2 linked regions of the Xenopus tropicalis genome follow. The protein of the gene in region 2 purifies or fractionates together with the protein of the main gene of each other region. This does not show direct contact. Links are inferred from orthologs where the notes say so. Each region holds a gene or a part of one and is shown on either strand. Other genes may lie near its edges. The genes, in order: mia2 and mia3.

Region 1 (11,812 bases), on a different chromosome or scaffold from region 2:
CAGGAAGGTAGGATCCTCAGAGGAACACATTCAAAGTGGTAAGTAAACTGTTAATAACATACAGACCCCTGAGTTTAAAGCCTAAGTAATAAGCACAGTGCAAGGGCTAAATAAAGAGTTGCAAATCCATATAGCATATAGTAATATAGGTTAAAAAAAGGACATATTAAGATGTAAAAATTACAAGAAAAAAAGTATCGGCCTAATTACAAAACAATATACACCCTTAAGTAGCATAATGATTTAAGAAATGCGATTAGAAAAATTGGTTTTCTAAGGCTAGGAACAAACAGCAGGCTAAGTTGCCATTATTGACCCTGTCTCATGTAGTTAGTTCTACTTGGCACTGAAATTTTGTTTATGATGAGCTCTAATCTCATGTTTTGATAAATCTGTGCTTAAGTGCCCACTAAGGGGCTGATTTATTATTCATCAGGGGCTAGGGTCAAGTTTGTAAAATATGAAAGCGACTTCTTTATCTCATTTGCCTTTCTTTGCCTTTTGTTAATTGCATTTTAGGTGCATTTTTAAAAAACATTTCGGGAATACAAAAGCTGCAAAGAAAAGGAAATGCGAGTGAAGAGCTGTTTTTTTTTTACCTCATTTTACCCAGTCCCTTTAATAATTAAACAGCCAGCATGTGTTGGTAAACCTACAAACTGAACAAAATCCTGGCAAGGTTAATATAATTGATGAATAACCCTTGCAAACAATTAATATGACTACAAAAAACTCTTTGTACAGTAATTGCAAAAAAGGGTTGAATAGTAACTAAAAAAAAAAAAACTATGAAGGGCAGGTATAGGTATTTATCTCTAAAAAGATAGAAATAGCTGGTAAAGAAGATGCTGGGAAAAGCTGTTAAACAGAGACTTTGATGATGTACCAGACCCTATAAATGGTTAGTATAGCTGGTAATAGGAGCCGGTAAAGACAGCAAATGTAAAGTGAGAAAAACACAGGGTTGCACATCTCAACATAATAATAATAAAGATAAGTAACTAGTGATACAAAATGTAAAAATAATATGAATGCAGGCAATACTCAGATGAATACAATCAACTGAATTAGTAATATACAGTGGAGGAAATAATTATTTGACCCCTCACTGATTTTGTAAGTTTGTCCAATGACAAAGAAATGAAAAGTCTCAGAACAGTATCATTTCAATGGTAGGTTTATTTTAACAGTGGCAGATAGCACATCAAAAGGAAAATCGAAAAAATAACTTTAAAAAAAGATAGCAACTGATTTGCATTTCATTGAGTGAAATAAGTTTTTGAACCCTCGAACAAAAAAAGACTTAATACTTAGTGGAAAAACCCTTGTTTGCAAGCACAGAGGTCAAACGTTTCTTGTAATTGATGACCAAGTTTGCGCACATTTTAGGAGGAATGTTGGTCCACTCCTCTTTGCAGATCATCTCTAAATCCTTAAGGTTTCGAGGCTGTCTCTGTGCAACTCTGAGCTTGAGCTCCCTCCATAGGTTTTCTATTGGATTAAGGTCCGGAGACTGACTAGGCCACTCCATGACCTTAATGTGCTTCTTCTTGAGCCACTCCTTTGTTGCCTTTGCTGTATGTTTTGGGTCATTGTCGTGCTGGAACACCCATCCACGACCCATTTTCAGTTTCCTGGCAGAGGGAAGGAGGTTGTCGTTCAGGATTTCACGATACATGGCTCCGTCCATTTTCCCGTTAATGCGAATAAGTTGTCCTGTGCCCTTAGCAGAAAAACACCCCCAAAGCAAAATGTTTCCACCCCCATGCTTGACGGTGGGGACGGTGTTTTGGGGGTCATAGGCAGCATTTTTCTTCCTCCAAACACAGCGAGTTGAGTTAATGGCAAAGAGCTCTATTTTGGTCTCATCAGACCACAGCACCTTCTCCCAGTCACTCACAGAATCATTCAGGTGTTCAATGGCAAACTTCAGACGGGCCTGCACATGTGCCTTCTTGAGCAGGGGGACCTTGCGAGCCCTGCAGGATTTTAATCCATTGCGGTGTAATGTGTTTCCAATGGTTTTCTTGGTGACTGTGGTCCCTGCTAATTTGAGGTCATTAACTAACTCCTCCCGTGTAGTTCTAGGATGCTTTTTCACCTTTCTCAGAATCATTGACACCCCACGAGGTGAGATCTTGCGTGGAGCCCCAGAGCGAGGTCGATTGATAGTCATTTTGTGCTCCTTCCATTTTCGAACAATCGCACCAACAGTTGTCACCTTCTCTCCCAGCTTCTTGCTAATGGTTTTGTAGCCCATTCCAGCCTTGTGCAGGTCTACAATTTTGTCTCTGACATCCTTGGACAGCTCTTTGGTCTTTCCCATGTTGGAGAGTTTGGAGTCTGCTTGATTGATTGATTCTGTGGACAGGTGTCTTTTATACAGGTGACTAGTTAAGACAGGTGTCCTTAATGAGGTTGACTAATTGAGTAGAAGTGTCTAACCACTCTGTGGGAGCCAGAACTCTTAATGGTTGGTAGGGGTTCAAAAACTTATTTCACTCAATGAAATGCAAATCAGTTGCTATCTTTTATTTAAAGTTATTTTTTCGATTTTCCTTTTGATGTGCTATCTGCCACTGTTAAAATAAACCTACCATTGAAATGATACTGTTCTGAGACTTTTCATTTCTTTGTCATTGGACAAACTTACAAAATCAGTGAGGGGTCAAATAATTATTTCCTCCACTGTACATGTATGCAACATAATCTGGACATGGTACAGGTATGGGATCCCTTATCCGGAAACCCGTTATCCAAAAAGTTCCGAATTATGGAAAGTTCATCTCCCATAGACTCCATTGTAAGAAAATAATTCAAATTTTTCTCTGTAATAATAAAACAGTACCTTGTACTTGATCCTAACTAAGATATAATTAACCCTTATTGGAGGCAAAACAAGCCTATTGGATGTATTCAATATTTGAATGATTTTTAGCAGACTTAAGTAACGGAGATCCAAATTACGGAAAGATCCATTATCCGGAAAAAACCCCAGGTCCAGAGCATTCTGGAAAACAGGTCCCATACCTGTACAGTGCTCTACGGGGCAGAGACCTTCATCCTCTTGTCTCTTGGATTCTTAACTTATTGCAACTGTACCTTGTATATATTTGTTATAATTTGTATTTATATATTATTATTTCAAGTATAAGTATATATATATATATATATATATATATATCAGTCCTGATGGTGTCTGCACTCCAAAGCTTTTAGTATTCTGTGGGGTGCACAGCCAAAATCTGAGTATTTAGCATGAAATAATCCATGGCCGGCACACCCTTAAAATTCAAAAAAAATTTTTATTGAAAACTCATTGTTTAAAAACCATCAAAAAACAATGAGTTTTCAATAAAAATTTTTTTTGAATTTTAAGGGTGTGCCGGCCATGGATTATTTCATGCTATATATATATATATATATATACACTGGAAAGAGTGCCGCACTCACAGGGACTTGATACAAAAGAAAAAGTCTTGGCTGAAAAACACTTTTTCTTTTGTATCAAGTCCTTGTGAGTGCGGCACTCTTTCTATTATACTTTTGTTTTTAACCTGCACCAAGGGCATTTGGACTTGTATAGGGTGTGCTCCTCGCTGTGTACTATATATATACTGTATATGTACATTTTTATTACCTGATGGTGTTTGGGTTCAGGATTATTAATGTTTTCTGGTATTGATTATTTTTTTTTTTCTTTTCATGTGGGATATTTCTGCACAATCAAGTTTTTTTTTCATTTTTAATACAGGGATGGGAAAAGTTATCCAGTAAGATCTGAGTTACAGGAAGCCCATCTCCCATAGACTCCATTTTAAACAAATAATTAAATTTTTTTAAAATGATTCATTTTTCTCTGTAATAATACAACAGAAGATTATGCTTAATCCCGACTAAGATATAATCAATCCTTAATGGATGCAAAACAATCCCATTGGGCTTAATGATTAGATTATTTTTTAGTAGACTTAAGGAGATCCAAATTACAGAAAGACCCTTATCTGGAAAACCCTCTTTTCCAAAAATTCTGCATAACAGGTCTCTTTTAATTTGAAATGTAAAGAACCCGATCCAAATAAAAAGCTGCCAATACACTGTGACATAAATCATAAATTATATTTTTGTTTATTTTTTCATGGTGCTATAACTTTGCAAATAAAGAATTCTTGTCAAAACAAGAGAGGATCTTATTGTTTAATACTGTGGTGCGCACCATTTATATGAAAGAGCATAAGGCTTTAATCAAGTAGTTCGAACTAGTGTTTAACTAAGCACTACAATACATCAGGCACCTACAAAATTACAGTCCAGACACTGTTTCCTCCTACATGCTGTTTTTTCTGTTTTAGGGGAACAATTAAATTAGTGTCAGATTAGCTTTGCCATTTTACTCCATGTGATCATTTTTTGTTGAATGTTCTCTATTTTGCACAAGACAGTACGGCTCTACATAACCTAATATGCATAAATCAGTATCCCAACTTACCTGCTGTTTCTAGTTCCTGGCTATGTTCACTCAGTTCATTCTTTGATAGAAAGTCTTGTGCAACAGTTTTATGAATCTTAGTGTTGCTACTGATATCACAGTCAGTATTTGGGTTCCCAATATCTGAAGACAGTTCTGTCCTAAATGTTTCACTCACTATAGGGTTATCAGTAGACAGAATTTTGTGTTTTTCCTTTGTCCCATCAGCTGAAAATTCATTTATTTTGATGTTCTCTTCCTGTGTTTTTGTTGAATTGACAGTATTTTCAGCATACATTTGCTCAATTTTGTCATCCAGGGGTAAATCCACCACAGTGTTCTCTTTAGGGCTTGCTTCATCTATGTGATTGGAAGAATATATATTATTTTTTAAAGTATCCAGATCTTTTTTATCCTGAGATTCCAAGAGATCAACCTGAGGTATAAAACTCTTTTGAGATTTATTGTTTTCTTCTTTTGGGGATACAGTACTATTGATCTCAGCTGTAAACTGATTTTCTATCTCATCAGTATAAGTCTTTTTAGGCTCATCTCTATCTCCAGATGTTGTTCCTGTAGTTGTCTGGACAAGTGTATTTATACCATTTGTGTCTGTATTTGGGAGTATATTAAGAGAGGGCTCAAGACTAAGCTTGCTACTATTTTTTTGACCATTTGCCATATCATGATTTTCAGTTTTACCAGAGTCTGCTTGAACCATTTCCTTATTTTCCTTTGAATTATATGACTGACCTTCATATATTGTTTCTCTAGCTTCTATATGAATTTCTACAGTCCTATCCTCTTTATTGTTTACCCAGTTTGGCATGGCATATGATTGTGTATACGAATTTTCACTAATATCTTCATTGTGGAGCTCTTTATAAGATTGCAAAGTATTTTGGTTTTCTGATATAACACTCTCAATGGATTGGGAGCCTTTTCCCCCTGACATTACACATGAAAAGTCATCTAACAGCTGTGAATCACAAGACCCACCTTTCTCTTGGCTTTTAGTTTCATCAAATGTTTCCTCTCTGTCTTCACTGTTTGTTGCAGTTAATTCTTCACCATCACTGGAAATTTCTGATGGTTCATTTTCTAAAATGATATCTCCATGTTCATGAACATCTTTTATCTTAACTTCATCTTTACTGCCAACTCCGAAAACATCTTTTATAGCAAAGTTAAACCATTTTGACTGTGGCTCTGTAGAAGTGCTTGCTTCGGTTGGTATTTCCTTGACATTCATTTTCATCTCATCAGATTGACTTGTATGAGCAGAAACCACATCATCTGTTTTTTCTTTTTGAACTGGAGCATCAACCTCCCTTTTTCCAAATGGCAGAAAATTTGTAAATTGACTGCTTAACCATCCAGACTTTTTCAGTTCCACTTCATCAGTTCCTTTAATTTCCATTTCTTCACTTATTGCAATTTTCCTTGAGTGAAAAGTATCTTCTTTTACAGGTTCTGTGTTAATTTCAGTACTTTGTTTGTCTTCTGACTCTCCTATGCCGAACCATCCTGCAATACTTGATGTAGACCATTTAGATTTGTCTATTTCTTCCAGGTTCTCGGATGTCTGTATGTTTGTTTCTGTATTTGTCTCTGTATTTCCAACAAACTTGTTATCTGGAACACATAAAGACATTTTAATTAAACATTTAGCAGTTACTGTTAAAAATATGTTTTTACCTTTAAAGATTGTACCTTCTCACCTTTAATTACTTTACTCTCCAAGTCACGAGCATATTCGCTTTCCTCAGGCTTAAGCAGTACACTGTCCTCATTTTCAAATACATATTCACCCCCATTCAGACAAACAAAATCAATTTCCTGAAAGAAGATTCAAAACAATGATGATACAATCTTAATGTACATATCTAATATTGAGCATTCTCTTATATCAATTTGAAGTCACTTGTAAGCCTCATTCTCCAAAATTATTCCACCTTAGTCAACCTGTTTGTAAGGCAGAAATCTTTTAGTCTTCAGTCTGTAAAGAACTTTTTAGACCAAATGGGTCATTTATATATGCAGGTGAAAGTGTGGTTACACTAAAATGGATGGAACTAGGTATTGATGCTCTTTATTAAAAGGTACATGCAGTCAAAAAATTAACCTTTCACATTCTCATAGTTGCATTGAGCACCGTTGCATTCACCCCGTCTTTTCTGATAAAAGTGACTCTGGGGAGCACTGGAGCTGCGGCCACACTGGGCATGCCAGTAGTGCCATGGTACCAACAGCTGCTGTGTCACTAGATGCAACAGACTAGCAAAGAAAGAATCATATGCTAATGGAATTTAAATACCATGCTATGGAAACAATGTAGTCCCGCAACTTGTGTCTGATTCACAAACACATGCATGCAAAATTGCATTCGCTTTGATGCACTGGGCACAATTTGGCAGATAGAATAGTTGCACTGAATTCTCATAACACTGTGGGAAAAATGGTGCCTTGCATTAAAAACTGCACTTAGCGCACAGTAACATTAACCCAAGTGCTGAGCTTGGTTCCCAATATGGCAGTTTTGGGTTACAGAATCAGCCTTCAGGAAAATTACTACTAATATAAGAAATTATAAATGTTATGAAATGCTAATATAGTCTTACCTGTGCATCAACCTCTACTTCTTCAGTCACGTAGATTTCTTCAATTGTAACAGTATGCATTGGGAAAAAGCCATATTCTTTACCAGTCTGGAAACAATATATTATCTTGTGTTACTATTATAGTTCCTGAGAATATTGGCCCAAAATGTATAACATTGGCCAAAAATGGCCTGAACAATCAGTTTCTGCACTAAAAAGCACAGCACAGAGACCTGTAGTAATACAGCAACGTATGATAGCACTGAGCCAATTGCAGTCATTTGTTGCACTTTGCATACTGCCATCCATGCTGTAAATGACCTCTGTTGTTTAAAGGGGACATTCAACCTTTGTACACAATTATTTACATCAACCAATCTGCCACATTTAGCTTTCTTTCCTTTAATTATTTGCCTAATGGGGTATTTCAACATATGGACTTGCATATCAATTTCACTTAAGTCCAGGAATTAAATCACTTGAGCCCTGGGGCTAGAGATGTGTTGGGGAAGAGATAGGACTGTGACTTCAAGGGGTGAAGAGAAGAACAGATGGAAAACAAAATTCAGAAATAGCAATTGATGCACTTAAAATATGTTGAAAATTAAAATAAATAAAATTTAGTGCACCAACTGCTATTTTTGAACCTTAAATTGTTACTTTCTGAAATATTTAGGGACCAATAGAGCCCTGATACAAATATTTGGATAACTGGAAACAAAGCTTGTACTGTATATATGAGAACTGATGGACTTGGACTATTGGTTATGGTGCAAAGAAACTGCAGTTCTAGAAATTAAATGGAGTTTGAAAGACCTCTAAGCAGCAGGAATGAAATATGTTTATGGGGAGAAGAGAACTGCAGTTTTTGGTTCTAATAAGAAAAAAAACTACATAAATCTTGTGCAACCAAGAACCCTCCAACAGTTGGTGGGGATTTCAGTTTACAGACAGCTAGAAGTTTGCAGAATGTCCCTGAAGAACATTCCGGCTAACAATTATTAAAATGGAACTATAGACACCAAAATAAAGTTATGTAAAAATTGCTGACTGCTGTTTTGGGCGCCCCCTGCAGCTCTGCTTGTGCAGCCGCCAGGTTACGTCACTGAAGCAGGAAGTGGCTTCTGAGGCCTCTCTGCTTAGAATAGTAGGGGCACTTCTTTTGCAAATTTATTGTTAATAATAAATACAATTGCTTATATAATGAAAACTGTACAGTTTCCCTTTAAGGAGCCATACAAATGACCCTCTGCTCTTGCTGCATGTTAGCGTATTAATATTTCAAAGGTAGGCACACTAAGCAAAATAAGCAGAGCAGCACTTTATTCAGTGGTGTATTTATTAACATTGGAGACAAACGTCATCGGTGATGTTGCCCATAGCAACAAATCAGCAATTAGATTTGAATGGTCAACTACAAATAGGAAAACAAAAGCAAAGTTCTGGTTATGTTTGTTTCCAATGTTAATAAACATTTGCTTTCTCTATAGTGCAGACATGTTGGTGGCAGAACAACTTTTTAGTGTAATGCAATGATGGCAGTATACTATTAACTATTTTTTTTCTTTACACCATTTTTTTATTCTGTAATTTTAATAGTTTCATAATCTAAACTGTAAATGCTCGCACAACGATGCCGGAATCTGACAAAGGTTTCTGAATTAATGGTGTTTACTTACACTTCCTTGCCATAGATCCTCTCGTTTACCAGACAGTTTGTAGTACACAATGATTTCTGCTCCTACTTTAAAACTCAGATATCTGCAGTCAGGTCCATTGTAATCTTGAATAGCCTGAGCTCTGAACATTAAACCTTCGGTATAGTAAAGAATAATTAGCATTGACAAGTAAGTGGATATATATAACATAATAGAGGGAGGGCACTCGCCAAAAAAATATAGATACGGCCTGGGTGCCACGTGATAAATTGTGGGATACAGAAAACAATATATATATATATATATATTCTAGGATTCAGCACACTTTATGATGGCAGAGAAAATCTAATAGGAGCTTTGGTTCTGGGCTTGCCCTATCAGCTTATATATTGTGACATGCTGAATGCCTGTACACGCAATTTTGGGGGAAATAGCAATGGTAGGCAGGCAGGCATGCAGAGGATCTGGAGCATAGAGACAGGGACACCAAGTCTTCAGGCAAAACTCAGGTTTATTTAGGGCCAATTCTTCCCAACAGAAACATAAAGACAGTTCAGTAAACAGTTCAGGGTTTTGAGATGTCCCTTCTTCAGGGTTCTCACCTTCCAGGGTTATTTCCACGGTCTGGAACACTCAGGCTTCACACTAAGCCTTGCCGAGCCCTCTCAGCACTCATCCGTTCGGTCAGCACTCCCTCTGCTTCCTGGCAGTGGCAGGTGGCACCCCCAGCTCCTCTGGGAGTTCCTAACACAGGCAGCCCTCCTGCTCTGTGCCCTGCTCTGAGAGTGACCTTCACTCAAAGTTTAATTCCAATTCTCTAAATCACACAACCCCTTTTATTGACTGCTTCACCTGCAGCCTAATCAGGCAGCTCCCTACAGCTGGCCAAATCAAACCTTAAAGGAGATTTACTCCAAAACAGCATTACCTGCTGTAAAACCAGGTATTTTACCTTGGGCCATTTGTATCCCACCTTAAGTACTGGTGGAAATACACCAAATAACGCTCTTTCCCATTGCATCTCTCACAATATCTTAAGGTGGCCATACAAGTTAAGATCCACTTATTTGGTCAATAAGATCTGCTCAGCCAGGTGTCAATCTCAATTGACACCTAGCTGATTTTTGGCCAGATATTGATCAGGGAGGCCCCATACAGAGGCAGATAAGTTGCCGAATCTGTCTAAAGGACTCAAATCTGCAGCTTAAATCTGCCTGTGTATGGTTGATGGAACCTCACATATCTACATATCTGTGTATATATTTACTATAGTTATTTTGGGTTAAAATACAGTCATTCCTTTTAATGTTTCCCAACATCATTGATCTGCATGAGAAAAAAATTATGGGAGATTACTGTGCAGGAATAAGAAATCTCCATTGAAACAGTGCCCTTATTGTCACAAGACAAAAGGCAGAGTGCATTCTTTGCTTTAGCAAATGGTAAGATTTAAGCAAAGATAGAAATCAGACTATCCTTGTTTTTATGTGCTTGTTTTTTTTCCCTTAATAAAGCTCTGGTTAGAGCTTTCCCAGCACTAGTTTGCAACACGTGTGCTGCTGTGTAATATATGTCCTATTGCTAAACAATGGTGGTGAACCTTGCCCTGCTTGTGTGATAGCACCATGGCCTGTGGGTGTTGGAAAAGGCATGATAAAAAAATATATTTAAAAGAAATGCTAAATGAATGTGTCTCTAATTCAACTTACTTCACAGTTACAATAGCTTAGTGAATAATATACTGTTGTGCACAAACATTCACTTTAGACTGATTTACTAGAGAAAGAGAACATATCATATAAACATCGCTGTTATTGCTTTTGTAAAATACTTACTTTCACAATGAGGATCCGCACATTTCTTCTTATCTGACAGAATTTTCTGCGACTGAAGTGGCACAGACAATAACAGGCCAAGAACAACAATCCTATGTCCCCACTGTTCCACCATTTTGCTTTCATGAGCTGCTTTTCAAAAATAATTGGGAATTCCAAAGCAAAATTATTGGAGCTGCTTGATTTCTTGTAGTCTCATGCATGTCTTTTGTAACATGGCAGGAATGAATTGCAGAGTCAGGAATCTGAACATCACTGATTAGTTTAATGGTTAACTAAAGTACAGAGATTTAACAGCCACCATAAACACAGAAACTGGACCTTGGGAACTCTCAGAGTAGCAATATTGATTGATTTATAAATATATTGTTTTTTTTAGTCTACAGCTATATAACCTTTAGGATTTGTTCACTAAGTAGGGAGATTAACACTACCAGATATGTTACGTTATCTTTTGTACATTTGACATTTGTATTTCATGATTAGCAGGAAAATGTATGTTCCCACAATTAACCTGGATTGCTGCATGTAAAGTGTTAAAGGCATTCATCTATGAGTGACAAAGCACTATGTGTACCATTGCACTAAACGTTGCTTTTCCTAGCTCAATCACCATTTCTTTCCTTCACTCTATTGACATTCCTCAATGCCCTGTCTTAGGGTGAAGACACACAGAGCTACTAGTAGCAGGTTTAAAAGGTTCCTGTTACTTGTATACTTCATAAAGAGGCAACATTTAATACGAACATATGACATTAAAGGGGTTGTTCACCTTTATATTAACTTTTAATATAACATAGAGAGTGTTATTCTGAGACAATTTGCAATGGTTTGAAATATGGACAGAAAAATGAATAGGGAAGCCTAAATAGAAAGATAAGTAATTACAAAGTAACAATAACAATAAAATTGTAGCCTCACAGAGCAATAATGTTATGGCTGCTGTGGTCAGTGACCCCCCATTTGAAAGCTGGAAAGAGTCAGAAGAAGTTTAAAAATTATAGAAAATAAAAAACACAGACCAATTGAAATGTTGTTAAGAATACGTAATTCTATAACATACTAAAAGGTAACCTGTAGGTGAACCACCCCTTTAAGGCCTAGATTCAATACAATAACAAAAACTTTTCTGATGGATTATTGAATAAGGAGAAACTTTGGGCTTTTTTTACATTTTAGAAATAATTGAATCTAGCCTTAAATCTGCTATATTGATGATTTACAATAATTATTTTTCACTTTTCCAGGGCA
Region 2 (11,812 bases):
AGGTGAAGGATTTCCCCCACTTACAGGGGAAGGTCCAAATGAGCCATCTCTGCTCAGATTACCTTAATTTAAATAGAAAGAAAAATTGTTAGGGATCATCCATTATATAGCAGACATGCAATTATCTTTTTAAAATGGCACAGAAATGACATTAACTACATTTAATTAAATCGATAGGTCGATAAAATTCAGTAACCCACAGAAGGGGCAATGGTTGATGCTTAGTACCTCTCTTTAGTGATTGCTGATGCTCTGGCCTTCCTGGCGTCGGCTTCACAATGGCAGGTCTCTGGAGCTCTGCAACTCTTTGGTTGACTTCAATTAATCTGAAAAAGCATTTTATATAAATACATGTACACTGTTGATATGTGGGATCTAGCATAATCTTAGTCTCCCATAAAAGTTCTCTTACTTCTGCCGGAGGTTTGCACACTCTCGTTTCTCTTCTGCCAAGGTTCTCTCAGCTGACCGAGCAGAGAGCTGCAGCATAGACAGGGATTGGAGGAAAAAGAGGCCATAGTGAGATGCATTAGCAATTATTAACCATTTCTAATATATCAATTAGCACTAAAATGAAGGCATTCCATCATTGATTATAACTTATTCTCCAGCATGAAGGATCGGTGGAAAAGGTGAAAAAGTCCCCTAAAGGGTAATTACAAAAAAATTACATTTCATAGCTGTATCTGAAATAATTTCTCAAACCAGCTACAGCCAAAAGAAAAGTACACATTTTTGGCAATTAAAACATGAACAATGTCAGTTAAGTCCCCGACCCATTTGTTCATATGGTCAACCTAACAGACTGATTGGTGACAACAGGTTGTTGTGGCCTTTAGCAAAACCACCTATAGGGTAAGAACCCATGGAGCAATAACTGCTCCAAAAAGGCTTTCCACTGGCAACAATAGAAGTCACTGGTGGAAAGCCCTTCGCATCACTTCAGTTCCCAAACATTGTGCAACTTCGGATTACCGAAGCGATGCAAAGGGCTTTCCACTGGCGACTTCTATTGTTGCCGGTGGAAAGCCTTTTCGGAGTGGTTACTCGCCCACGATAGTGGAGATCTTTCGCAAGCGAGTAACTCGCTCCATGGGTTCTTACCCATAAGGGCTTAGTCACACAGAGCGTTTTTAATGAGAGAAGCGGATCCACTCTAATCAGTATCTCCATGTAGCTGCAGTGGAGTGGAAAGTGGCCTGAAAATATCACTGATTTCAGGCCTGATTTCTGATAGTGATTGTCAGTACAGCTACAGGGAAGTGCTGATTAGAGCAGATCTGCTTCTCTCTACCTGATTAAAAACCACAGCTCCAGTATCTCTGACAATAATTAAGCTGAGAACTTTCTAAAGCCCTGACCATTTACAGTCATGTGACTGTTCAAATGCTCTTTTTCGCTACCTGCTCTACACCAGTCAACATCATAATGCTCTGACTGATGCCAGGTTGGCTCTAATCTTGCCTACTTCAAATCTGAGGAAAAGTCTTCTACTACATTATAAAGGTGTATATAGGTACCACACTCACCCAGTTTTCGTGAGCTTTCTTTTCATGGCTTGCAATCTGAAAAACATGAATAAAAAGAATTTAACACAAACTATAACAGAAAAATGTGCATTCCACAAACCCTCCTAAAGCTATCTAGCCTTCAGTGAAATACATAACTATAAGGGCCAGGCAGGCCTATCAGAGCACAATCAGTGGCCATTTGGACCCATTTCTGTACTTTGTCAAGAAGCAGTGCTAGAGGTTAAAGGGAAAGTTTTACTTAAGATTAATTTTGGCACTATGTAGATAAGTGAAAAAAGTTTGCCTCTTGTAGTGGCAACGAAGGATGATTTGCAACTAGAATTAGATTTTGGGTTATTTAATGGTTTGTAACTGGTTTCTAGGCTTCCACTACACAAGAGACCCTGGCTTGAATTACAGAGAGGGTCTGGATAAACAGACAGGTAATACAAATAAATTGAATTACTATGCCCACAATCAAGCTGCTTTTGATTAATATGTTACTCACTAAGTGAAGCAGTCATTGAAGTTAGCCACAACAGCCAACAAATATTTAGCTTGGATCAATCTACTGGCGCTATAATTTTCAGGCTTTACACTAACAACCTATTTGAATCAGTAAAGCCCCAATGAAGAGCTAAAAAGGAAACACAGTGTACCCAGGAGATACAGACACTGCCCATTACCTGGTTTTTGAAGGACCTTTCCGTTTTCTGTAGCTCTTCTTCCATTTCTTGAATTCGCTGCCTGCAAAATCAAATACAATTAGCCAGTTGTAAATGAATGCCTATTGTTAGTGTTTGTTCTCCCCCACTTTGATTAGTCACCCTCAGTAATGCCAAATGTCACTTTCCCTAGCTGAACACAATCAGTAATTATTTGGATTTATATACAGCTAATTGATGGTTTATCATTTATTCACAGCAAAAAATATATACTTGTAGATTTTGACTTCTGCTACAGCCGAGACAGCCTTTTCGTCAGCCATCGTCAGCTTCTGCTCCTTGTCTTGCCGCTCAAACTCCTCCTGTGTAAGTTTCCTAAAAGAAGCACAAGAACCAATATAAGTCTCCTGCTTGATATAATATATTGAAATGTGCAGGCAGAGAGTGTGAAGGTTCCCAATATGATGGTGTAGTACAGTGTTGTCCAACTGGCAGCCCACGGCCCCCACCTGTCTAGTTGCTGCAAATGCTTAAGCTGTACATTGTATCAGTACTGAGGTTAACTTCCCCCCTGTATTGTTTACAACCTCAGTTTTAGGCTGTAAGCCCCTGCATTGTTTACACCTTCAAGACCCTGCATTGCTTATACCTTCAAGACCCTGCATTGCTTATACCTACAAGACCCTGCATTGCTTATACCTACAAGACCCTGCATTGCTTATACCTACAAGACCCTGCATTGCTTATACCTACAAGACCCTGCATTGCTTATACCTACAAGACCCTGCATTGCTTATACCTACAAGACTCTGCATTGCTTATACCTACAAGACCCTGCATTGTTTACACCTATAAGATCATGTGTTGTTCGTACATATAAGACCCTGCATCGCTCAAACCTAAAATACCCTGCATCATTCCAACCTACAAGACCCTGCATCGTTCCAACCTACAAGACCCTGCATCGTTCCAACCTACAAGACCCTGCATGGTTCCAACCTACAAGACCCTGCATGGTTCCAACCTACAAGACCCTGCATCGTTCCAACCTACAAGACCCTGCATCGTTCCAACCTACAAGACCCTGCATCGTTCCAACCTACAAGACCCCACCGTGTTCACATCTACAAGACAATGTGCTGTTCACACATACAAGACCCTGCATTGTCCACACCTATAAGGCCATGCACTGTTCACGTCTGTAAGACAATGCATTGTTCGCACCTCTAAGACCATGCATTGTGCACACTTATAAAACCCTGCAGTGTTTACACATATAAGACCCTGCATTGGTTACACATATAAGACCCTGCCTTGTTTACAACTATATTTAAGGGTGTGGCTTAATATGACTTAATAAGCTTCTTTTACATTGGTTATGAGGATATCCCTGCAGTGAGTACCAAGAATTTGGGCTTTTGCTGTGCTACCACCATTAATGTGGTTAACATGGATGTGGTTTAAAGTGGCTTCCATTATTATCCCTCCACCATGTAGGCCAGAATAACACTGGCCCTCGGTATAACAGAAGTTGGACAGCACTGGTGCAGTAGATGGCGGTAATAAAATGCAGCTCCCCCATTTCACGCTATCAATCTTAGACTTTTTAAGGATCCCAAGTGGCTTCATAATAGAATTGTTTTTCATGGCACAATATGCTGAAAACTAAATATGTTTTTCCCCCTCCCACCACATGCTGTGCCCACCCATGTCCTTAATTACTTTTGCAGGGCCATCTCCTTCTGCTGGTACAGTTCTGTAAGGATTTCAACTTTCTGGCGCAGAGTTTTGCATTCGTTGTCCAGGCGCGTCTTGTCTGACTGCAAGGAGCTGCCGTCGTGCTGAAGTTGCTGAATTTGTTCTAGATAAGAAAGAAACATATAAATTTGCAGCAGCAGCAGCAACTTTGAAGGGGCGTTCAGCTTTAAGTTAACTTTCATGTTACTTTTCAGTATTTATTTATTTTATAGTTTTTAAATGATTTGCCTTCTTCCTCTAACTCTTTGCAGCTTTTAGACGGGAGGTCACTGACCCCAGGTGCCAAACAACTATTGCTTTGTGGCTACAGTTTTGTTGTTATTGTTACTTTTTGTTCCTTATCTTTCTATTTAGGTCCTCTCCTATTCATTTACCAGTCTTTCATTCAAACCACTCACTGATTGCTAAGGTAATTTGGACCCTAGCAACTGCTGAAACACAAAACTGGAGAGCTGCTAAACAAAGAATGAATATTCTTGAACCAACAAATGTATTTGTAGCTGTAATATTGGTGTGTAGGCGCCATCTCAGTGCCTTGTGCCTGAGTCTGAGCTTTCAGCCAGCGCTACACATTAGAACTGCTTTCAGCTAACCTATTGTTTCTCCTACTCCCATGTAACTGGAGGAGTCCCAAGCCGGACTTGGATTTCTTACTATTGAGGGCTATTCTGATACCTACTGGGAGCTGCTATCTTGCTCCCTTCCCATTGTTCTGCTGATCGGCTGCTGGGGGTGAGGGGTGGGGATATCACTCCAACTTGCAGCGCAGCACTAAAGTGTGACTGAAATTTATGACAGTTTTCCTTTAACAAACAAGCAGACCTTTTCCAGTTTGGGCAACCACATGCTGGGCTGTTTACATGGGCCTATGCAGATCCATCAGAAAAGGACTGCATTAATAGATACAATGTTACTTTGCTTGTTTGCTGAATAGTTTAATTGCTACAGACAAAATCAATATCCCAGCTCTGTCTATTACAGGTTTGTTGGTCTCAAAATGGATATGTCAGTCAGTAGTACACGTTTCTATTAGATGGCTACCTTCAAGGTCATGTCGTGCAGAAACCTCATCCGCCAGTTTTCTTTGGTAGAGGTCTTTTTCTTCCTCAATTATTGATAAGGTGGTTTTAACCTAAAACAAGGAAGATCAGGAACAGGTTATAAAAAGTTAATGAGTATTAGGAAAGAAAAAGAATCTAAATCAATCAGCTGCTGAATGCACTGCCATAGTCTTGTTCCCTCATTCTCTCTTAATTCTTTGGATTGGAGCAATACTAAGGGGAAAGACACACAGAGCTACTTAGTAGCAGCTACTTGTCATGGCTACTAAACGCCAGAAAATCCCCTGCCATAGACAATATTAAGAATTGCCCCTGCTAATACACACGTAGATTTTTGTAGCCATGACAAGTAGCTGCTACTAGTAGTTCCATGTGTCTTCACCCTAATAGTAACAGCTGACGTTCATAACATTATTTTGATACGTTATGCTAATTTTTGTTAAGTGCAGTATACAACAATAAATATCTATGGGGACCAAACAAAGTGCAATCTCATACTTACCCTTGAGACATCCATCATTTGCTTAATCTGCACTTTCATTTTCTCCTTCTGCTTCTCTAAAATAAAACATTTCAATAGATACAGATTAGCTGTACAGATTCTGTTTGTTTTGAACCTATATCTAATGTTGCCAACAAAATACTTCACGTCTATCCTAACAAAGTACTTGGCACACTGGTACAGTTATAGTATTGCTGTGGATTTTTACCAGCCCTGGCAAAATGATTCTTTAATAGTATCTATAATAGGTCAAGTCAGTTATTACCCTTAAAAAAAAGAAGTTCTGACCAAATGGAGTTTGTTACAGGGAAAATATATACAATAAAGACATTTCATGAAAGCTTCCTTGCATCGGGGACACAAATAAACTTAATATGTAAGCAAGGATGGCATTCCCTAATGATTGTCTAACCCAACAGCTTCTATATCACTGATCGTATGCCCCAATAAACAAGGACTAGGAGAGGAAAGTTACCTGGAACCTCTCCATTTGCCAATTCCCCATCCCCTGCCTGCTGCCAGTTACCATCTTCTACCAGTGTTGAGTCCGCCTCAAGCTGTTTTAGTTGCATGATGCAGTTGGTTAAAACCTATGGATCAGAAATTAGTGTAAATTAATTAAAGACTATTATTACGGCATTAACATAAACTCACAGGGCTACCATAACTGTAATATGAGAAGACAAATAGGGGCCCTGACCATTCTGTGTCTCCTTGGCTACTAAGATTACAATTTTAAATTCTTCAGTGCACAGAATGCTTCCTAGTCACAGAATCCCAACGACTCCTAGTAGAGTAGAGGAACAGTGCTTTCCAGGTAATGATATTTCCATACACAATGGCCTACCTCAATCTCATTTTCTTTGTAGGCCAGGGTTTCCTCCAGATCTTTGTGAGACTTCTGCTGCAGCTGTATCTGCTCATCAAGCTCTCGCTGCCTTTCACTCCACCCTTCAGCTTCTTTTAGCAGCTAAAACAGATTGAACACAAGTATAATCAATTGTTTTACTGGTTTTATCAGGTTTTCTTTCTTTGTATGTAATCTGTATTTTTACTGTATACACCTACTTATTGAACAGTGCTGTGGAATATGTTGGCACATAAAATAACTACATAAATGACAGTAGATATTCTTAGGATATTCTGCCCCATAATAAAACTATTTACACTGTATGCCCTCCTTCTGTTAAAGGTACAGTAACACCAAAAATGAAAGTGTATCAAAGTAATTAATATATTATGTACTATTGCACTGCACTGGTAAAAGCTGTGTGTTTGCATGGGGGTAGCTAATTAAAAAAAGGAGAAAAGGCAAGGGTTTCAAGAAAATTTGCACAGTTCCCATTGTATTCTACAGAACATATCTGTTATCTGCTACATAGCCTGTGCCTTTTTTATATTACTGTTCCTTTAACATGAATACAACAGGAGAATGTACATTACACTTAGTGGTATATACTTGTAGAGAAACTGACTGATCCTATAGGACAACCAATTTAGACCAAGACTTTTTACGTTAGTGTTTTGCTTGGGAGGATACTTTCTCACATACCTGCTCCTTTGTCTCTTTGAGTCGGGAGTTCTCATCCTTCACACCACGCAGTTCATTTCGCACTTTTGCCTCTTTCAGTTTTACTTCATTCAGAGCAGCTTGAAGCTAAAAAGCAAGAAGTATTGTCAAGAAAAATCAGGCTTCCTTGCATATCAGTTAATCTCCATAATTCAGAACTAATACAGTCATGCCAAGAAAGCAACGTGAATGTTATGCTAACAGCTGCTCTCATTAAGGTGTGTGTTATCAAACTTTTTTTTTAATTTAAAGTGGTAAGTTTAATATCAACCTTCAACTTAAAGAGGTGGTTCACCTTTAGGTTAACTTTTAGTATGTTACAGAAAGGCCAATTCTAAGCAACTTTTCAATTAGTCTTCATTATTTGTTTTTCATTGTTTTTTAATGATTTGCCTTTTTCTTCTGACTCTTTGCAGCTTTCATATGGGGGGGTCACTGACCCCGGCAGCCAAAAAACTATTGCTTTGTGAGGCTGCAGTTTTATTGTTATTGTTACTTTAATATCCCTTCTTTTTCTATTTAGGTCCTCTCCCATTTATATATCAGTCTTTCATTCAAACCACACCCTGGTTGCTAAGGTGATTAGAATCCTAGCAACCAAATAGCTGCTAAATCTCCAAGCTGTAGAGCTGCTGAACAAAAACTGAAATAATTAAAAAAAACTACAAATAATAAAAAATGAAGACCGATTGTAAGTTGTCTCATAATATAACTCTTTACATCATACTAAAATTTAATGTAAAGGTGGACAACCCCTTTAACATCACCCTTATCCAGTCCCTGGCTTACTGAGGGTGATGGGAGTTGCAGTCCAGGCCAAGTCTGTAACATGTAAGAAAACATGTAGAAAAGAATCTCTCACCTCCGACAGTTCAACTGTGTGCTCCAAAAACTTATCTTGAAGTTTTTCTATAGATTTCTGCCCCTCGTTGATCTGTGATGAAAAATATTCATGAAGACATTTAAAATCAATAGCTCATATACATAAAACATTACAAATCAAAACAGCAAACAATGTTTTCTTATTAAGCAAATAATTACAGAAGGCGACAAATAGAAGATTTGAAGTAGAACCAGAAAAGAAATGCTTTGCTTATAATAATCTATGGGCTCAGTTTATTATGTATTTACATAAGAATAAACAGGAACTGATATTTTCCCTTATTGATATGAATGTGTTGTCATTCTGCTCTCACCATTTCCTGTTTCTTCTTGCTCTGCTCTTTCTGAGAGACAAGGTCATTCATTATGTTCCTCATTTTTGAATCTAAAGCCTTGTTGGAATCCTTTAGCTCCTTAATGGTGGCCTGGAAAAGCAAGGATGAGTATCATTTCAATGTGAATACAACAAGCTTTAAGGAACTAAACAGACAGGCACATTGCATTTATTGATGGACTAGGTTTATAGAGAACTGGTGAAATCCTAGGGTCTAGTTATAAAGTACAGAACCAGCCAAATAAGCATCTAATAACTAGGCAATTTTGTACTATATGCTCCTAGTCTCCACTGACTCCAAATGCTGACTTGAAGCAATTCTGTAATAATATACAGTGGTGTGAAAAACTATTTGCCCCCTTCCTGATTTCTTATTCTTTTGCATGTTTGTCACACAAAATGTTTCTAATCATCAAACACATTTAACTATTAGTCAAAGATAACACAAGTAAACACAAAATGCAGTTTTTAAATGAGGGTTTTTATTATTTAGGGAGAAAAAAAATCCAAACCTACATGGCCCTGTGTGAAAAAGTAATTGCCCCCTGAACCTAATAACTGGTTGGGCCACCCTTAGCAGCAATAACTGCAATCAAGCGTTTGCAATAACTTGCAACGAGTCTTTTACAGCGCTCTGGAGGAATTTTGGCCCACTCATCTTTGCAGAATTGTTGTAATTCAGCTTTATTTGAGGGTTTTCTAGCGTGAACCGCCTTTTTAAGGTCATGCCACAACATCTCAATAGGATTCAGGTCAGGACTTTGACTAGGCCACTCCAAAGTCTTCATTTTGTTTTTCTTCAGCCATTCAGAGGTGGATTTGCTGGTGTGTTTTGGGTCATTGTCCTGCTGCAGCACCCAAGATCGCTTCAGCTTGAGTTGACGAACAGATGGCCGGACATTCTCCTTCAGGATTTTTTGGTAGACAGTAGAATTCATGGTTCCATCTATCACAGCAAGCCTTCCAGGTCCTGAAGCAGCAAAACAACCCCAGACCATCACACTACCACCACCATATTTTACTGTTGGTATGATGTTCTTTTTTCTGAAATGCTGTGTTACTTTTAAGCCAGATGTAACGGGACACGCACCTTCCAAAAAGTTCAACTTTTGTCTCGTCGGTCCACAAGGTATTTTCTCAAAAGTCTTGGCAATCATTGAGATGTTTTTTAGCAAAATTGAGACGAGCCATAATGTTCTTTTTGCTTAAAAGTGGTTTGCGCCTTGGAAATCTGCCATGCAGGCCGTTTTTGCCCAGTCTCTTTCTTATGGTGGAGTTGTGAACACTGACCTTAATTGAGGCAAGTGAGGCCTGCAGTTCTTTGGATGTTGTCCTTGTGGCCTCTCGGATGAGTTGTCTCTGCGCTCTTGGGGTAATTTTGGTCGGCCGGCCACTCCTGGGAAGGTTCACCACTGTTCCATGTTTTTGCCATTTGTGGATAATGGCTCTCACTGTGGTTCGCTGGAGTCCCAAAGCTTTAGAAATGGCTTTATAACCTTTACCAGACTGATAGATCTCAATTACTTTTGTTCTCATTTGTTCCTGAATTTCTTTGGATCTTGGCATGATGTCTAGCTTTTGAGGTGCTTTTGGTCTACTTCTCTGTGTCAGGTAGCTCCTATTTAAGTGATTTCTTGATTGAAACAGGTGTGGCAGTAATCAGGCCTGGGGGTGACTACAGAAATTGATATTGAAATTGAAAATTGAAATGGATAAACCACAGTTAAGTTATTTTTTAACAAGGGGGGCAATCACTTTTTCACACAGGGCCATGTAGATTTGGAGTTTTTTTTCTCCCTTAATAACGTAAACCTTCATTTAAAAACTGCATTTTGTGTTCAATTATGTTATCTTTGACTAATAGTTAACGGTTTTTGATGAGCAGAAACATTTAAGTGTGACAAACATGCAAAAGAATAAGAAATCAGGAAGGGGGCAAATAGTTTTTCACACCACTGTATATATTATATATATATATATTCAACAGAGCTGAAAATAAAAGATAATATGCTACAAAAACAATCCACATCAGTTAAGGGAAATCCCAGACATTTGCAGAACAAAAAAAGCAAACAGTTCACACTAACCAACACATTTTTCCCCTCCCCAAACAATGAATTTCCTGCCAAACATGCCACATGTAGTATGTATAGAAGAAATGCAGCGGTGTGAATGTCAAGGTAGATTTAAGGATAAATTATTGTTCCCAGCACCAAAGAAAAACAGATAGAAGGTTCAGCGCATGGTGCCTCGTTAGATATGGGGTTTCTGGGTATAAGGCCCACAAGCACACATCTTAGTCACTATTTATTTCCATGTGAGAACAAGAGAAACACTGCAATGGGTGCTTGGCAAACATAAAAATAAAAAAAAGTGTAATATTAAAGTAATGGGGTCACATTGTAAGCACCCCAACCCCAAGAAACAGAGCCCACCCTGCTATTTTCCAGATGAAGAGGTCAGGTTGCTCACTTATAACAATTTACCTTGAGAGCTGCAGCTTCAGCCAGAAGGTCGGTGCTCTTCTTCAGTGTAGTGGACTCGGACTCTTTCGCTTCCTTTATCTGTGTGCAAGAACCATATGCAGCCATTTAGACAAACAGAGTTGAGATCGGTCCCAATAAAACTCTGACTCCACTTCAGTAATTACCTTCTTTTCACATTCAGATATTTTTTCTAAGGCCTCACTTTTTTCCTTCACCAGGTTTGCTATCTTCTCTGCCAGCTGCTTTTCATTGACTGAAATGGAGAGATATACAAAGCTCAGCCTGGGTTCCTTTTTAAACATCTTCAAATAGATATCAGAGAATAACCTTTAGCTTTGAGAGAGTTTGTTAAAGTCGGTTTAGTCATTTCCTCTTTAAATATTCAGTAACACATATGAACCAATGTGAGCCAATATAGTTCTATAGGGCAACGACACAAACTACTTGCAGCCATCTATTTGTTGCGGCTAAAAAATAGACAATACTGATAATTGTCTCTCCAATTTAGCAGTAGTGTCTATGGCAGGGCGCTGTGACAAGTACCTGGCTACAAGTAGCCCACACATTTTCTTATGTGTTGGAGTTCCAATAACATTCTACCCACTTATGGCAATACACACCATTTCTTGATTTCATATTAATAACTCATCGGTATGATGTCCCTATAAATGTAAAATAATATGAATATGCAGTTACATGTACGTAAAATATTCCAAAATTGTTACCTTGATAAACTCTGCTTTTGACCTGAAACAAACAAAAATAAATGTCAGGGACAGGGAACTTACAAAACCACAAGAAACATTTATTTTGTAAATGGATAAATGCAATGTATTTACAGCAAGACTTTCCCCCACTCCGAAGGAAAAGCATAAAAGCTGATTGAGTATGTTCCTAATACAGTTCATTATCTGTACAGCAAATATTAGCCTATCTGACGTGGCTGCTGCCAGTGGAACATTTCATCTGAAACCTTTAATATGTGGTAATGTTAAACTTTATGTACACATAGGTTACGTTTGTTTCTCCATTTCAGGTTTCTC

What was found.
Region 1: the proteins of mia3 (region 2) and mia2 purify together in Homo sapiens (affinity purification with western blotting; 6 studies listed by BioGRID and IntAct, counting the BioPlex papers as one, with this or other methods). This does not show direct contact. The link is inferred for Xenopus tropicalis from reciprocal best matches to the Homo sapiens genes MIA3 and MIA2.

The regions. Positions count from the first base shown.
Region 1 is NC_030684.2:90,851,812-90,863,623, reverse strand, and holds the start of mia2 (melanoma inhibitory activity protein 2), read right to left. Parts: upstream 10,776-11,812; 5' UTR 10,677-10,775; coding exon 10,562-10,676; intron 8,882-10,561; coding exon 8,748-8,881; intron 7,177-8,747; coding exon 7,090-7,176; intron 6,308-7,089; coding exon 6,190-6,307; intron 6,104-6,189; coding exon 4,490-6,103; intron 1-4,489. UniProt on the Homo sapiens protein: Plays a role in the transport of cargos that are too large to fit into COPII-coated vesicles and require specific mechanisms to be incorporated into membrane-bound carriers and exported from the endoplasmic reticulum.
Region 2 is NC_030681.2:9,626,713-9,638,524, forward strand, and holds part of mia3 (transport and Golgi organization protein 1 homolog), read right to left. Parts: intron 11,517-11,812; coding exon 11,495-11,516; intron 11,023-11,494; coding exon 10,934-11,022; intron 10,848-10,933; coding exon 10,770-10,847; intron 8,375-10,769; coding exon 8,264-8,374; intron 8,002-8,263; coding exon 7,930-8,001; intron 7,155-7,929; coding exon 7,050-7,154; intron 6,468-7,049; coding exon 6,345-6,467; intron 6,088-6,344; coding exon 5,973-6,087; intron 5,554-5,972; coding exon 5,498-5,553; intron 5,067-5,497; coding exon 4,976-5,066; intron 4,038-4,975; coding exon 3,899-4,037; intron 2,552-3,898; coding exon 2,450-2,551; intron 2,259-2,449; coding exon 2,198-2,258; intron 1,566-2,197; coding exon 1,530-1,565; intron 481-1,529; coding exon 413-480; intron 327-412; coding exon 229-326; intron 63-228; coding exon 1-62.